Arabidopsis thaliana: one gene and its partners. The protein of the gene in region 3 interacts with the protein of the main gene of each other region in a pairwise test. Each region holds a gene or a part of one and is shown on either strand. Other genes may lie near its edges.

Evidence for each region. Proteins that work in one complex are often made in the same cells at the same time.
Region 1: the proteins of AGL21 (region 3) and AT3G07260 interact in a two-hybrid assay, tested with the Arabidopsis thaliana proteins (one large-scale study listed by BioGRID).
Region 2: the proteins of AGL21 (region 3) and SAC51 interact in a two-hybrid assay, tested with the Arabidopsis thaliana proteins (one large-scale study listed by BioGRID).

What each region holds. Positions count from the first base shown.
Region 1 is NC_003074.8:2,307,318-2,312,017, forward strand, and holds AT3G07260 (SMAD/FHA domain-containing protein), read left to right. Parts: upstream 1-2,291; 5' UTR 2,292-2,386; coding exon 2,387-2,969; intron 2,970-3,140; coding exon 3,141-3,313; 3' UTR 3,314-3,666; downstream 3,667-4,700. Other genes in the region: AT3G07255 (nuclear transport factor 2/RNA recognition motif protein), read right to left, coding at 1-399, 556-1,009. UniProt on the Arabidopsis thaliana protein: May play a role in the control of plant organ development. Does not show transactivation activity in yeast.
Region 2 is NC_003076.8:25,729,301-25,735,318, forward strand, and holds SAC51 (transcription factor SAC51), read right to left. Parts: upstream 4,014-6,018; 5' UTR 3,848-4,013; intron 3,524-3,847; 5' UTR 3,028-3,523; intron 2,930-3,027; 5' UTR 2,766-2,929; intron 2,680-2,765; 5' UTR 2,637-2,679; coding exon 1,590-2,636; 3' UTR 1,035-1,589; downstream 1-1,034. Other genes in the region: Phototropic-responsive NPH3 family protein, read left to right, coding at 1-195, 276-554, 626-925; FKBP12 (FK506-binding protein 12), read right to left, coding at 5,510-5,611, 5,761-5,813, 5,927-5,988.
Region 3 is NC_003075.7:17,834,408-17,841,653, forward strand, and holds AGL21 (AGAMOUS-like 21), read right to left. Parts: upstream 4,563-7,246; 5' UTR 4,215-4,562; coding exon 4,033-4,214; intron 3,178-4,032; exon of another isoform or gene 2,355-3,177; coding exon 2,276-2,354; intron 2,131-2,275; coding exon 2,069-2,130; intron 1,945-2,068; coding exon 1,845-1,944; intron 1,755-1,844; coding exon of another isoform or gene 1,730-1,754; coding exon 1,688-1,729; intron 1,586-1,687; coding exon 1,502-1,585; intron 1,426-1,501; coding exon 1,288-1,425; 3' UTR 1,281-1,287; intron 1,186-1,280; 3' UTR 810-1,185; downstream 1-809. Other genes in the region: SHM1 (serine transhydroxymethyltransferase 1), read right to left, coding at 92-142, 249-335. UniProt on the Arabidopsis thaliana protein: Probable transcription factor.

The sequences.
Region 1 (4,700 bases), on a different chromosome or scaffold from region 3:
GCCTCAACGGATGCGACACATTAGTCCCACCGGCGTGAACGATGAACTCAGCCGGCGAGAAAGACGTTCCATGGCAGACGCAGATTATACTGATCTCTGATTTTGAGTAACGGTATAGAAAACCATTTACGGTTTTGCCCTCGGGACCGTTACCGGTGCTAGTCACGCAAGGCATCTGAGCAAACGGAAGCAAACTGCCGTTACCGTTACTGTTGGTATGCGGTTTTGGCGGCTTCCCACTCTCTTTGGTTACAGAAGAGTTGGACCATTCTTGGGTCTCCGCGTCTTTTGAACCGTCTGTGTTATGCACGGTTTGCTCTGTACCGGTCAGAATGTTGTTAACCGGAGATCTAACCTGTTTGGTTTGGCCAGATTGTGCCCCAATGTCGCCACTTCCACCTGAACATTAACCATAATTCAAAATCATCTACATGCAAATAGCATAATTTTCGTGATTCTTTAACAGAATCAACACATCGAATTATATACTAAAAAAAAACTATATACATATACCAACCAATTTTAGTTTATTTTTAAAAGAAGGTTGTTATATACCTTCTTGGCGAGAAGAGCTGCTAGGATCGGATACGGAGGAGGAGGTGCAAATGGGTGACCCAATCGTAACGTCTTTACTGCTTTCCTTGAGTCGACCCGACCCGTAACCGTTACACATGTTGATAGAGCTCAAATCCATATCATCGCCGTTACTAACTCCGTTATATTCTGTTCTGATCCTCTTGCACTCTCCTTCTTCTCCGCTTCTCTGCTGCTGCTTCGCCTCCCGCTTCTTCCGTGTTTCCTTTATCCTCGTCACATTCGTCGTTCTGCCGTCAAGATTAACGCCGTTATCCTTCTCGAATCCGACGGCGTTAGATTGTCCAAATGTTTTAGATTTCTCCGTTTTCTTGAAAGGACCTCCCAGGGAAAGACATAGCTCGAGCTCGAGCTCGACCTCCACATTCTCATCTTCTACAAACTTTTCTGCCATTGATAAAGATTCAACAAACATATAATGTCAAAAAGATGGTCTCTTGTCTTCCGCAAAATTTTCCTCTTGAAGGGTTTTGAAGCTTCGCCAACTTTGTTGTATGAGAAAGGAATATTATAAGGGGCGGAGATAATTAAAAAGAGAATGGTAAAGGCTTCGGAACATGACACATGTCCGATAAGGATAGTGGACATGGGCGGTTTCAAAATTCACTAAGAGAAAGGTTAAGAAACTTTATTAGCGCTACAATTTCGGATTATCGATAAACGCTTTCCATTTATTTTGTTGGTTTCTATTTCCATTGGTTGTAAAAATCAAGTAAAATTTTGACGAAAAGTACCGAGACGCCACGTGTAACACGTGCATGGAAACAGTTAACACGTGTACACTGAGATCCTGCTGGCTTTGACGAGGACACGTTGGGTGTTTTGAATTCTTGTGTTCGTATCTGACTCCGCGAATCTCGAGCATAAACACGACCCCGGGATTGACATGTGGCGACCATCTTCGAGAGACAGTGCAATAGGTTAGACAGTCCAGGTCAGCAAATGACGCCGTAACGGTTATTCTCATCTGATGTGTGTCGACGTGGTTCATGTTTGGCTGGCTTCATGGGCACGTGCTAGATGACAAATGGCTGTAAAGAATTATGTTGAGTAGATAGATGACTCGTGTCTTTATTCGAATAGTGGAATAGCTTGTTGAAGTTGCTTTATTATAGCTTGGCTATCACAAGTTCCAGCCTTACTCTTGCATGAATTGCACCTGGAAAGTGGAAAGAGGATTGAGACTATTTGAATTGTTGACAAGAAAAACAAAGGAAGATTCTGCGAATACACTGTGGAATATAGCAAATGTTCTTTTCTCGTTGTGATTTTTTCGGTTGATTAAATGTTTAACAAAATGTAAAGCAAAGATTCTAGAAAAAGAAAACCATTCTTGACTTTGCTATTTCTTTGACAAAAATGTGACGATATTCTTATGAACTTTTCATCATATTTTATCATCATAATTTCAAGCCTTACGGTTATCACATGATCCATATTCATGTCAATGTCATGCTTATCCCCGAATATTACATACTACTGGGTTTATGTACATAAGATCCGGTTCACGTTAATGGGCTGATGCTTTTTAGATAAGGCCCAACTAAAGCTGTTTCTTTTGTTAGCCGTGGAAACAAACTGCCCGTTTTGATTTGATCGCCGTAAGGCCCGTAACATTGACAGTGGAGAGGCTGAAAACATGATGGGTATAATAGTCATTTACTTGAGAAGCCTTTATATTTTTCATTGTACGGTTTAACCACAACATATCTAAACCGGTTTCCAAACACATTCTATTACTATGTAACCCCAAATTTGATCTCCGACTTCAAAATCGGAGAAATTTCACGGCATGGCTACAGCCGTTGGAAGCGGGAGCGATGTAGAGGTTGGATTTGCGAAGCTCCAAGGTGAGGATTTCGAGTACTATATGCAGTCTTACTCCATTATTCTCGGCCGGAATTCTAAGAAATCGACCGTCGACGTCGACCTCTCATCTCTCGGCGGTGGGATGAACATTTCTCGCAACCACGCTCGGATCTTCTATGACTTCACTAGACGACGCTTCTCTCTCGAGGTACTTGGCAAAAATGGCTGCTTCGTTGAAGGTGTCCTCCATCTCCCTGGGAACCCCAACGTCAAGCTCGATTCACAGGACCTTTTGCAGATTGGTGACAAGGAGTTCTACTTCCTGCTTCCGGTTTGGAGTATCCTAGGCGGTCCATTGGGACCCAGGCACCACGTCTTAGGGAAGGCTACTGTTGTTCCGTACCATAATTATCATTCGGGTCCAGGTTCCGGGTCGGGTAAGAATGGCGTCCGGAGTAGAGAGTTGTATGAGTACGATGATGAAGACGACGATGAAGAGGAGGATATCAGAGGCAGTGGAAAGAAAACATGGAGAGATGGACATGAAGGAGTATATGCCTCTGGAGGTAAAACCAAATTGCTCATGATAGCTTAACTTCATTGTGTCACTAAATAGATTTCAGGCTTGTTCTAGACTTTGAGTATAAGTTTTACTGTGGTGGTTGATGATTGAACCTTGTTAGACTTAGATTGAATGATAGTGACACCACGACATTGTATCTGCTTCATTTGTGCAGAGAAGAAGAGAGAGGGAAGATCAAAGGCAGATCGTGAAGCTGATGATCAACAATTTTTGCAGCTAATGCATGGTAGTGGTTGGTCTGTGACAGATATTAAAGGAGTATGGAAACGTATGGCATCACAGTCGAGTAAGAAGATACCTATCACAAGAAGACTGGGCTATCCCTGAAGCAAAAGGTAAACCATGGTACGGTTTGCTGATGCTGCTGAGAAAATACCCGGAGCATTTCGTCATCAACACGAGATCAAAGGGAAGAGTTACCCTTGAATTCGTTTCCCTCGTTACCCTACTCTCATAATCATCGAGATGATTGTTAGTGCAGGAGCAGGATGATTGGTAGTATATCTTTTATGTTTCCACGTAATGAGTGTATAAGTGGGTGTTAGGTGTTTTGACCTTGGTGACTCGTCGGATTAAGTTTTTCTCGCTTTTCTTTGTTACGTTGTATATGTAGAATGACAATGACATTGATGAGTAAAACACTCTCGGATTTAACCTTTTCTCTCTCTTCAAGAAATCGCATAAGCTATTTTCAGCCATATACATACTATAGCCTATATGGCTATTCAACATTAATACACTCTCGGGTAAATTTAACCTTTTAGTTGTTTTCTTATGGCGAAAGCGGATTTGGTTTGCATATTATTTAGTTGAAAAGAAAAATCAAACGAGAAAATATATCACAACCCAAAAGTATACTATACAAAATTCAGATAAAGTTGTCTCAAAAGTACTATGCATAGTACAGATAAAGTTGTCGGAAGGAAATATTAGTATGATTTTCCCCGTCTCATTACTGTACATCACTTAGTCAACGCATACACTGTTAAAAGTCAACACATACAATCATTCAAAAACGTTTGGAGTTTAACACATAACACATCACAAGAGTGATCATCACAAATTAGAAGTTTATTTTACAAACTTGAGCCTATTAAGTTTTTACTTTTTGGCCTAATGAAAATTGAAACCACTTTATTCAAACCCAAAAATCAACTTTCTTCTCTTGTTTTATCGGTGGTCAAGATCTAGGCTGTTCGCAATAACATTTATTATTTTTTTTTCCAATAATTTCGTCTTTAGTACCAACTTTCGTTTTATATATTGCTGCCGTACAACTTGCACTTGCTTACATGTTTATTTGTCTACAAATTATTACTTAAAAGTTAAAACAATATACAGAGAAATCTCCCTAAGTTATTGAGTGATAGTTTTAAGTTTTTTTTGTGAGATAAATTAATTACTATTTAGTATTTTACGTAGGTTTTGGTAAGATTCTTCGATTTTTTTTTTACTTACAAAAACAATAGAAAAAGACTGATGCATGACAAAATTCTTAGAAAAAAAAACTGATGCATATGATAACGTGAGTGAAGTTGGTGCTTAGAGTTGCTAATATTAATATATATATATATATATATATATATATATATATTGAGTGAAGTTTTTTTTTTTTTTTTTTCAATCATTGAGTGAAGTTTTTTTCTTCTTTTCTTTTCTTTTTTAATCTTCTGCTGCAGTCACAAACTCACAGTGATTGTAAAGCTGAAGTTTG
Region 2 (6,018 bases), on a different chromosome or scaffold from region 3:
AATGGTGGTGGTGGTGGTGGTAATAATCAGAATGCGAAAATGAGAGTGGCGAGGCTTGTGGATAGTTATCTCACCGAAGTTGCTAGAGATCGGAATTTGCCGTTGACAAAGTTTCAGGTTTTGGCTGAGGCGTTACCGGAATCTGCTAGGACTTGTGACGATGGACTATACAGAGCCATTGATTCATATCTCAAGGTATATATATATTGAAGGTCTTTTTGGTAAATTCGTAGAATAGTTTTCAACATTTTTTTGGCTTAATTTTGTTGTGATAGGCGCATCCGACATTATCGGAGCATGAGAGGAAACGGCTATGCCGAGTGATGGATTGTCAAAAACTATCAATGGACGCATGTATGCACGCGGCTCAGAACGAGAGGTTGCCATTGAGAGTGGTGGTTCAAGTTCTCTTCTCGGAGCAAGTCAAGATCAGCAATGCTTTAGCCAACACATCACTCAAGGAGTCAACCACTTTAGGAGAAGCCATGGGTACGTATCAGCCTATGATCCCAAATCGCAAGACATTGATCGAAGCAACACCACAATCGTTTCAGGCAAGTAAGAGAAAACACTCATCAAAATTCACACAAATTCCTTTTTTCTAATTCCTCTACTTTGAATGCAGGAAGGATGGGCTGCAGCCAAGAAGGATATTAACACGTTGAAGTTCGAGTTAGAGACGGTGAAGACCAAGTACGTCGAGCTTCAGAACGAGATGGAAGTGATGCAACGACAGTTTGAGAAGACGGGGAAAGTGAAGAACACGCCATCTTCTTCGGCTTGGACCAGCGGTTGGAAGAAGCTAAGTAAACTGACTAAGATGAGTGGACAGGAGAGCCATGACATATCCTCTGGAGGAGAACAAGCTGGTGTTGATCATCCACCCCCCAGGAAACCAAGACGATGGAGGAACTCAATTTCATGAAGTGATAGTGATGGTTTTGTATCTTCTTGATTTTGATTCTTTGAAAAGAAAAAGCTTTTGTTTGTTCCTAATTTGTAATGTTTATTGGTTTCTAATATGGAATAAGTGACATAAACGATTCGATTTTTATCACAAACCAAAAAACGCCATTTGTTTATTACAAAACCATTTAACAATACAACAATAGAGACACAACAATACCAGTAGCATGTGGGTTGAAGCAAAAGACAAAGGAATAGTTTGCATTATTACAGACACTCAAATTAATTACATGAACATGACATCAATATTTCATAAAAATCATGGACCCATCTAGTCATCATATGGACAAAAGAGTGTGTGTGGGTCAGAGATATTTTATTACCTTAGGGGAGATTCATAGATCACGCGAGCTTGAGATGAGACTTTGAATATTTGCCTTTTGATTTCACCATCCACACTCAGCCAAAAAAGATAATCATTGTCCATCAATGACCATGACGACTTTGGCTTTTCATTCCACACAGAGAGAAGAAGAAAGTGACCTCTTTTCTTCTTTAACTTTTTGAAATTTGCAGTAGCATATATAATACTTAAAAGTAGTCCACTATATACAGCTAAAAAGCTGGTGCAGAGGATACGTACCCAAAAACCCACTTCACACGTTTTAACTCGTCAGAATCTTTCACGCCTTATCTGTCTGCAGATTTCTTGTTCCCCATGTTGTCTCTTTAAGCAACAAGATTGGTGACTTGTGAGTGGTGGAGCTTTGGTTCTTAACCTCTGTGGAGATTAAGTCTCGTTTCAGCAACTTTAGGTAATCAATTGCTTCGTCCAGAAGTAAGAGCGCTTCGTTTCCTTTTGCACCAGGGACTACGCTCTCGAGTATTTTCAGAGCTGTGCGGATCTTGTCTTTCTTCGACTGCTCGTTGCTCAGACCAGAACCAGTGTCCTCTTTGGTCGATATGGTTTTTGATTCAGGGAGCTTTTTGTCCTTAAGAAAGGAAGATCCATTGAGTTGTGTGGAGCTCTCAGTGCCCACAAGTGATGATAAGTCGCTGATGTTGTTGACCTTATCCAGTAGTTTCTGCCTTTTACAAGGACCATCGATTTCTTCTAATTCCCTTTTGTTGCAAACTCCTTCATTTGGATAAGGAGAGTGACCAGTGCTCATTACTTCATCATCACTCTCGCAATCATCATCATAATCATCATCTGAATATAGCAATGCATTGATCTCCTCAGTGTCTTCATGCATTTCTGACTCTGTTCCATCACTCTTGTGAAACTCTTCACCATCTTCTTTGAAAGCTTTCTCTATACCTTGTAACTCAGAGAGTTTCACTGGTTCTGCAGCCGCATGAGATGGAAACCGTAGAGGAAATGGACATTGTAATAGACGAGTCTGGTCTCCTGACTGATCGAATATCAAAAGTCTTTTCTGAGAAGACTCTAATGCTCCAAGTGGAGTAGTAGTAGTAGTAGCAGCAGCGCACCAAGACCGCATGTCAGACCGTGAGAATCTTTTTCCATAAGACTCCTTATCATGACTGCACAGCAAAGACTGGAATGGTGGTGGCTGCAAACAGCGAGCCTGAAGCTTAGCTGCATATAGTTTCCCAAGCTCAGGGAGAGGAATTCTAGGAAGGACAGACCGACCTACTATATCCTTGAAGCAAGCTTGAGGACTTAAGCCCAGAGGCAAATCCCGTTGCCTCTTATCCAGAGGCATGCTCTTAGCAGTTTAGCTCAAGGGAACTTCAAAAAGTACAACACTGCAGGACAAAACAGAGGCAAAAATCAGCTCAAGAAAGATAAAGTCAGTAATATCACAAGCGTAATTAGAGGGAAAAGAGCATACCGATTGTTAAGTTGCTCAACTGAGTGAATGCAATACTTCTTGTGTCCTTTTCGAGAAAATAGTAAAAGAAAGACGAACGAAAAACAATCACAGATTGAAAAATGCAGCGAAATGTCACCAACCAACTACGTGACTGGTTTGAGTAGAAGTCTGAAGTACTCAGCCTGAAACACAAAGAATAATCACAAAACCACAGTGTTAGAAGACTAGAACTATATAAGCTAAAAGTATGATAACAAGAGCATTATTGTCTGGTACAAACCTGGCAATTATCCATCGGTTGATAGCATTCAATAACTCTCACTACAATTGTTGATTCGTTAGCGTTTCCGGTCTCGTACTTCAATCCTCGAAATCTTGTCTTACCAGGTGATTGGCACACCATAACTTTGAGGAAATCTTGATTGAAGAAAGTAGACAGATACCAAAACCAAAAGGAGGAAAGTTTTGTTTGTGGAAGGAGAGTGAGCTTTTAGTCTAGCTGATTCTTTGTTCACAATGGTACACATAGAAATGTTGTGATCCCATTTTCAAAAGTGTTTATAATATACCGAAAAAGAAGGGAAGATGAATAAGAAAGAAAAGGATTTGACTCTTGAAGGTGTTGCTTCAAAGGTGAAACAATCTACAGTATCACACGGCAATACAGATTCAAGCTCAAAACTTTACGGTATACGGCAATACACATGCTGTTTTCTCTTTCTCTTCCTCTTATACACACTCTAATTGATTCTGATCACTCAAACCTACTTTAGTATCTGTGCAAAAAGTCGAAGGAAGAATCTCATCAGCACCAAAAATGAGCTAAATCCAGAGATCAAAAACAGTAAAGGACATAGATTTATAAACGTCTAGCAAGTGGGTGTATTCACAGCATCAATTCCAGCAAAATTACGCTACATTTTACTATTACAACTCAGAATATACACAAATCACAATGTTCTAAGCTAGATTCAGACATAAATTACAGAACTTTACCATTTCACAAACGACTCAAACCGTTTTTAACCACAGTCTCCAGATACACAAACAGAGAGAACAGTGACACAGACTATAAGAGAGAAAAATTGGATTTTGATTACCTTAGAAAGGAATGATCTTTCGGTCAGATCCAGAGAAAACGATGAGACTTTTTTGTTTTTTTTTGAGCTGAATCAATGGAAAAGCAAAGGGATAAGAGAGATGAAAGTGACCAACGAACAATAATGTCTAAACGGAGAATTTTTTTTTACGAAATATTTCTAAAGAGGTGAGTGGCAACAAGAGTAACAAGGCTTTATAAAAAGATTTTATGACGCTTTTGCCCTTTTCATTACTTTATTTTACCAATTCACATTCTCAATTTTTTCGGTTTTTTGTTTGTTCTATATATCGAAATTAATTTTCATTCTATATTTTTTTAAAAGAAAAAAACTAAGATACGCAAAAGGTAACATAATTTAAGTTGTACAATTTGAATTTTTAATTATTTAGAGGAAAAATATGTGTAACTTGGAAATTAATCTAGTAATTAAAAACGGTGGCAATGTTTATATTTGTGCTTTGCTTGAAAGAAATGGGACAAGGGGGCCGAACGTGTATATACGTAATTATGGTATATATGATGACAAAGTCTCACGGTCCATAATTTCAGGTTATACTTTATCATTAAATAATATTTTTCTAACCAATATAATTTTTTAATATATACTTAATTCGTTAAAGTAAAAGTTCATACGTTTTCTCTTATTTATTTTAAAAGCTAAGTTAGTGAAAGTGTGGTCGAGCTTTATTATATCCTTAATTATTTTCTAAATAAATACTATTTCAGGTTATAATCCCTCTTTAATTTTATTGAAAGCTAAGTTAGTGAAAGTGTGCTCAAGCTTTTTTTCATCCTTAATTATATTTTAATAGTACATTTGTTCAGGTGCGGTGTTGTGTGTGTTTCAAACACCCATTGTGACGGAAAAGAATAAAAGCTAACCACTCTTTTTAATTGTTTAATTTAAATTGACAATTTAGCATCTATCTAGCTTATACAACGCCAAAATTAGCTCAATACTTTTGTTTTATTTTTAAAAATATTATGTAGACTTTCATTTATGTTAAAAGTTATTATTCATAAAAGGACTTATGTGATTGGGGAATGTGGGTGAAAAGAAAAAGAAAAGTAAAAAGAATGAAAATGAAAATGGAGAAAAGAAAAAGAAAAAAGAAGCATAAGTGATGATTAAAGAATTGCACGGGAATTTTAAGTGCTTAATTACCCGCACGACTTCTCTCGCGTCTCTCTCTTTTTTCTTCCTTTCTTTTGTTAACTTATGTATCTTGTCTGAAAAAGTTTTTAACTTTAGTCTTTTTTCTTCCTTTGATTTGATATTAAGAACAGTAATTTATACTGTGTTTTGAATTAGAAGTGGTCAATTCAAATTTCATTATGGTTGAGACCATTTGCTTTGGGTCTGATATGTCATTAAGATTGAAGTTTTAGTTTGATTCTTTTGTGCTTTTTATTGGCATTTTGATTGAATAAACAAAACCATTTTAATCAAAATAAAAAAACGGGAATAATATCATAATATAGTACAAACATTCCAACTGAAACACGAGACGGGTCTTTTCTTTTATTTAGATAAAAACGTTGTCCAAGAGTTTTAGAAGAGCAATGACATCACAAAGTTTTGTTGCATAAAGATCCCAGAAGCAATAAACATAAAGGGTTGTTTAATAATCTACCCACAGTTTAGGAGCTGGGGAGATCATTACTGCACGCTCAGTACTTCGATTTCAAAGTCGAGAACAGAGTTTGGCTGGATCCCCCATGCCGGAAATCCACCAGCGCCATATGCGTAATCCGATGAGCACTGCAGAAGCAGATAAGATCGCAAGCCAAAGATGTTAAACATATAACGAAACACCCAAACTATCATGAAAGACAAAAGTGCTTCAACAGAGAGCCATAAAAGCATAGATGGCAAAGAGGAACATGATGAGAGAAGCAGAGTATACATACCCGCAAGCGAGCAACCTCTCCAATTTGCATTCCGATAACGCCTTCATCCCATCCTGTAAGCAAAGTTAAACAATCGAATCATATGATGTTCACTCGCCAAAAAAGAGGCAAATAGGTTCAGAGATATGATATGATTAACCATAAAACAGAGTAAGTAAGTTTATACCTTTGATCACAGCACCTTTACCGATTTGGAACGAGAAAGGTTTTTGTCCCTCGTCCTTTGTACTATAATGATATACCAAAGAACAAAACACA
Region 3 (7,246 bases):
CAGACATAGAACTTCAACAATCAAAACCATTGCTTCAACCACAAGGAAAACTATAAACAAACAAGAGATACAAAAAGGCGCTTAAACTCACAGTGACACGAGATCTTTCCTTCTCATCAACAGCTTCACTGGGCAAAGAAGACTGCAACGGAACAAACAGAAATCAGAAAAAAAAAAAAAAAAAATCGAAAATTTCCAATCCGATTATAAAATTCGGAGATAAAAGGAAGAAACTTTAGGGTTGTTACCATGTAACATGAAGTGGATCGAATAAGAGGACGAATGGGTTTGTCAATTGAAGAAGAAAGCCTTCGAAGAGCCATGGCCATCGCCATTTTTCGCTAAACCTCTCTCTATCTCTGGTTTGTGAAACCCTAGAAACAGATTTGAAACATGAACGAGAGAGAAGAGAGAACAAAAATAACAAAATTGGGTTTATCTTGTTTGAGAGAATTGTGGCCTCTGCTTTTGGCTGAGCTTTTGGTGGTTGCAGCAAATTTTCGAATTTTTTCCCTCTTTTTTTATTTATATTTTCTTCTGATTTTTATTTTATATTTGTTGTTTCTTTGTCGTTATCTCTCAGGTCCCTGTCTACACCAACCTTTGTGAATTGTGATGATTTGGTGACGACGATGATTTGTTTCCCTTTAAGACAGAACCTTTATTGGTTTCTGGTCAGTGCAGTCAACGATAACCGATTCAGTTATCACACATCAATTTAATTTATATAGTTTCCAAACCGGTTAGTTTGGGGGAATAAGATTAACAGAATTATGGTGAATTTACAAAATAAAACCAACAAAACAAAAAACTTAACAGAAAATGTTTATTTAACATTTTAGAATTACCAAGTGCATGGTTATATATATTAAACAAATTATTGATCTAAGAATATTGATATTTGAGAGAGTTTTGAGGATAATAATTCATATGATTTTTCTCTATTAATTGACGAATCTATGGTTATAAACAAGTACAATATTAATACTCAAGATGAGTATAACAACACCGGATTTTAATTATATATGCTTTAATTATATTTAGGATTGAAAATATGACTATGTTAGAAGAACCATGCTGCTTATCGTACGTGGCTTGGTGTATAGAGGTTTCCAGTTCAAGAACCTTATTCAAACCAAGGCCTTTGGAGTGTTCTTCAACATCATGGTATCTTCCAACTTCAATCTGTGAAAGTTTTTAACGAGTTACATAAAATATATAAAATGCCTAAATGGTGCATGCATGTTTGTGAAACATCAAGATCAATTAAAAAAGTTTACCTCTCTGTTATTCGTTTGCTCTTGGTGGAGTGTCATAATCGGAATGTTCAGGCTGGCTTAGTTGCAGCCGAATCTGAGTGTGTGATTCATCATCCGCAACAGCTACTTCACGGTGTGTAAACCCGTTTGTGTTTGCCATATAAGCCTGAAAGTCGAAGCCATATCACTTCGAAGCTCTTACTCCAAAGAAAATGGAGTTTTTGTAAAACATGATTTGTTACCTTCTTGTAGAGCTCCACATTTTCTTGATGAATCCGTTGTACTTTCCTAGATAAATCGAGGTTTTCCTGATGAATAAGATTCCTCTGCACCACGATCAACAAAAATCCCAAAATTAGAATTGTAACTTTTGGTAGGGGATATTTGTGTGTGTCAGTGTGTGTATATATATATCTCATCATAGTGACCTTTTGGCTTAGTTCTTGGATTTCTTGAGTCAACAGTTGTTCCTGTGAATCCGGAAAAGCAATCGTTCTATTGATTTCCGTTGTGTTCTATAGTCAATCTTTTGAGTAATACACTCCAAAGCATATAATAGAAGGTAGAGTATATGTATTTATGTACCTTTCTCATACGAATTCCACGCAAACTTATCTCAATTTGATTCTCAAGACTGTTTAGCTCGTTAACACTTAAACCATTTAGCTGTTCTCCCATCATTTGCCTGCTTCATAGCAAACATACCGCAATCCATAACTACAAGTTTCTTCATTTCCTTTACATGCCTTCTATATTTTGATCAAAGACTAATTCTTAATACAAAATGTTATAAAAGTTCAAGGCGATACCGATGATTTTCTTGCAAAGCATGCAGTTCTTGTCTTAGAACAGCAGCTTCTCTCTGCCAAAACTGTAACACACAACACAAATAACTCATCAAACTTTGAACAGCTCAGTAAACCAAAATCTCATTTCAAAAATCAAACATCATGCTAAAGCATCAATCAATATATAATCACATATCTTTAGAGTTGTCGCTATATCTATATGTATACCTTGACTTCTGATGCGGGGTTCAATAGTTGTTGTTGCTCGATCTTGCTCTTGTTGTATCTATCAATAACCGACTTCATGCTATTCAAAATATTTAATATTAGTATACCTTGTTCATGGTATATAATTCACTCATATCATATCATCTCTTAGAGTAAATTACGTAAAAGATATTAATTTTCGATCGTGAAGTTTTTCCAAGTACTCCATTAAAAAGCTTTCATACGTAAAGAAAAAACTCATAGCCTAGAAATTTGTGCAATATAGACTTTCCTGCATTGGCAACATTATTTACACACGCTTATATATGTACACATACATACATTTCACATAATGTATATAATCTTGAACTCAGCAGTAATACGAATTTGTTACACAAACTAGATAAACTATATATAAAGTAAGTAGATGTTAGTTTCTTTTTTCAATAAGTAACAAAAACAAATGCTTAAATGTTATTTCTAGGGTGTAGATAAGCAAGAACTTTAAAGGAATCCAGTTCTAAGCTATAAACAAAATGACATAAATGTAATGCATTAGCATGGCACACTTTATTTTAAATCCAAGCAAACAATAACATGGTGTTAGTTAGTTTTAAGAATGGTATATAAACTTGACTAAATATGCTAAGTAATTTCATTTACCAAGAGGTTCGTAAACCCTATGATACATGAGAAATGTTATCAAAAGACAAACGTGAAGAATTAATAATGCTTAAGGTTGATGCTAATATAAAATTCCTCAAGGAAAATAGGGAAAAACAAAAATTCGCATTACCATACTCTTTTATTTGGTTGTTTTAATTGATAAATATGAAATTATATAAATTTTCAAAATATATAATCAAAATATTATATGATTTAGAATTACATGTTTATATATGTTTTCTAATAATTAGTTTTTTATCTCTATATTTTTTTTATATTAATCAAACTTTTAACAAAGAATAACTTACTCAGAAAATAGACAATTATAACGATTTTGCAGATATAAAGTTAAATATACAGAGTAATCTGATCGTTTAGTAATAATATATATGATTATATATAAATATCAAAAACATGTTTATGTTTACGAGTATAAATAGATCATTTTGTTAGTGGGTTAAACTAAATCAGCTTCCAGTTTATTGGATTTGAGAAATTAAGTCCTCTACATACCAATCTTCTAACTCGTGGTCTCCAATTATAATTCTTTTTTAGCTTTCCAATAGTGATGTTTGGGCATTCACACTTGTTTTCTCATCTATTTCTGAAACATATCTAAATTTGGAAAATGCAAACAATGAGCCTTAGTTAGTTATAAGTCAATGTCCATACACATAAACATATGTTAGGAAAGTACTTCAAAACATACTGATGATGGGTACATATAATCACCCAAATATGAAGCAAAGAAACTACTTCAAATTATTTTTTCAGCTTCAAAAATATTACTCTTCTTTAAAACTTCTACCTCATTTTTAATCTTTCTTTGTTGTAAGAAAACTGTTTGTCGGCTATACAAGACACATCTTATTGTACATACGGGAAAATTAATGTAACATGTTCTACGGACCGCCAGATGCGAAAAAATTCCACTATATTTGAATAGATCCCACAGCTACATATATCTCAGTGAATATCACCAAGCCTTCTAATAAACAAAACCGTAGCATAAAATTATATGCATACAGTGGTACACAACATCTCCGTAGATGTACATCCACAAAATCAAGAAGATATAAAGATTTCAGAATGAATAATTTTAAAAGAAGAACCTGGAGCTTGCAAAGTCATAGAGCTTTCCGGTGCTAGAGAAGATGATGAGACCGACCTCGGCATCACAGAGAATAGCTAGCTCTTTGGCTTTCTTGATAAGGCCCTTTCTTCGTTTGGAGAAAGTGACTTGTCTACTCGTTGAATCATCGATCCTTTGGATCACAATCTTCCCTCTTCCCATCAATTTTATCCTCTAATTGAATCTCCTCTGGTTCTTCTCTTTTTTAGGGTTTTTTTTTTTGTAGATCTTACCAAGCCCAAAAGGGAAGGGAATATGAAGATGAACGAATAAGGAGAAAGAGAAAGGTAGAAATAGAGAGAGAGGAAGGTTGAGCCAAGAGTCAACAATCTATTCGAGGAATAAACTAAGTATATATATGCATATGCACACACACACATACACACTCACCTCTCAGTTTGAGACATTTTTGGGTAGATTTAATACATAGAAAAGTACTAAATTTCTAGTCCAAAATTAGTATTTGTGTGTATGATTTTATCAAACCAATGAAATAGAGAGAAGTTCTTATAAAGTTCCTAGGTTAAGAGAATATATAGATATAGCTTAAATGTGTGTCATATATACAACTTTAATCACTGATTCTTTTTTATAGTTTGTTTATTACGGGAGATAGTGGAAACTTAATGGAATTGTTTAGATAAAAAGGAGTGAAATAATATTAAACTTAGTGTGAGTTAGGTAAATTTCCATTATCAATAATATTTCCTTTTTAACATGTCCGTACATTATTTATAATTTATTCTTAAGTCTTATTTCAAATGTCATGTGAAAATAGTGAATGGGCGCATCACAGGACTGTGTTTCTCTGACAAAACCCTCTTGCTTTATATGCTGCTTTACTTAATTTAATTAGTATCTTTTAGAGGTGATTAAAAGAAAATTAAAAATATTCTGGCCCTTTATTATGGTCATAGGAAAACTTATACTATATTAATTAGATCTGTCCAAAAGATATTTACCCAAAAAAGTAAGAGAATGGATTGAACAAAAACATACAGTATTAATCTAGTACAACATATATTAGTCCATATGGCTTTCGGTAGAAATACAAATGAATAAATTATTTTTGTGTCAATTAATAAATGATTTTAAACGATATCAAGTACACGTGTCAGACAGGGACTTGGAGTTGCGGAGATTCATCATATTAATTGTTTTGTCGTAAGTTTCCAAATATGGCAAGAAATTTAATATCAAATAACTATATAACGTCTGTTACTTTCGATGGCTTAATGCTTGATTTCTACTCAAAGCAACTCGCGTTCAATATCATAATGAAATGAGCTATACAAAATTTTCACTTATATATAGAATATTTTCACTCAGAAGGCCATATATATATAAACCGTAACTTATATTTCAAGCTTATGCATATTGCAAATATACAATCTAAAATGTAATATGCATTTGTGACAGGCACACGTGGGAGAAGCAGGAACAGCTCCTGAGAACACCAATTGATGGAAGTCTTCGCACGCTCCACCGCAGAATCCGTACACCTGATCCTTCATTACTAACTATTTTTGTGTGTTTATTTTAGTTTCTTTGAATGTCTAAACTTTAACTTTGACCAACCCTCAAACTTGCCATAAATCACCACCCCTAGCGCGAATGTATCCATCAATTGAATTTGATTTAAAAGTAGCAAATGTCCTTTAAACCGAACTAAACCAAGCTCAAACCCTAATAACCAAGTTCGATTTTATACCGTTGATGTATAAGATTTAGGTGGGCCCCAGATAGATAACATGATAATTAAAGATCTATTAAGACCACGTGGGCTGGACTGCTTCGAACCAATCACATCTCGAATCTCAAACTCAAATTCAGATTTGGCTCTTTTTCTATTAACAAAGAATCTTAAAGTTGCTTCCAACTTCCAAGTGACCAAATCCCCAATTATCGTCCTCTTAAGATAAAAGATTCAGTCTCATTCACGCCAGGTGTCAATCATCAGCGAATCATTTCGATTTTACCAATTATAATCATTATTATCTTTAGTTCGACGGGTTTATACCACTCTTTCTTTTACGTTTCAAGCCTATTGTCTACGTTTTCCATATTTTTCAAGTCTAAAACATAAACAATCTAGAATTATCACAATCTTTGTTTATTTTGGTTCTTAAAACCCCTTTAACAATATTTGTTTTGTGTAATTGTGTGTGTTTATCTTTGCTGTGTATATATATAAGACCTATTTCTTAAGAAATGTTTTGTAATGACTAAACCAAATATCTAACACATGTATAGAATCTGTAATCCATAAGAGCTAGTTACCAAAGAGTAATAGGTTTCACAGATGACCTATTTCTTTACCAAATTAAATTGCTTACTATAGAGTTTAAATAATACACCCATACTACTGACTATCTGTTGTTCAAGTAGCAGATTTATATTACAGACACCTATTGTTATAAATATAGAATATAGTTTTTCAGGTGATTCTTGGAACTTTACACCAACAAAGCATGTTAAGTATATAATTAATGCTATATTTTAGATTTAACTTTTCATCATGCGTTTATGTCCAATTAGTTTAGTCAAGAACAGAGATTATATTCCCATTTGAATACCGTAATGTTTCATTATTCTTCATAATTAGTCTCCATTATTCTTCATAAGTAGTCGTCTACCATTTGACAAAAAAATATGTTAAGTGAAAATGTATAATAGATATTGGTTCTATAAAGTATAGTTTTTTTTTTTCTGGTTGGTGCTATAGAATTCACGTGAGAGGGTAATCAGAGTGGTAGTGTGAATGATAATAAACCTTGTTTAGATTATTGATCAGACCAAGAAAAGGAGATAAGGTGGTGTCCCTTTTGATGTTTTAAAACTTAAATCCCACATATTGGGTCCATAAAGTTTATAATTTAAACATGTTCTCAGATTTCCGAAGATAATAATAATTTTAGTATGTAACTGCAAAGGTCGAGTTTAAAAGATGGCCTTGGAACTTGAAGACTGGTGGAAATTGTACTAAATGTTCCAAAGTTGTGGCCATTATTTCATTTTTAGTGTATACCTCTGATAGTAATTAATTTAAGATTCGATACTATACCAAAGATAACTAAAAATAATAAAGAGAAATTATGGTGTATTGGTTTTATAAATTGCTAAAAATGATAGTTCTTTTATTGGAGTTATAAGAAACTAGCTTTCTTATTTTTCGACAAACATACTTACGAGAA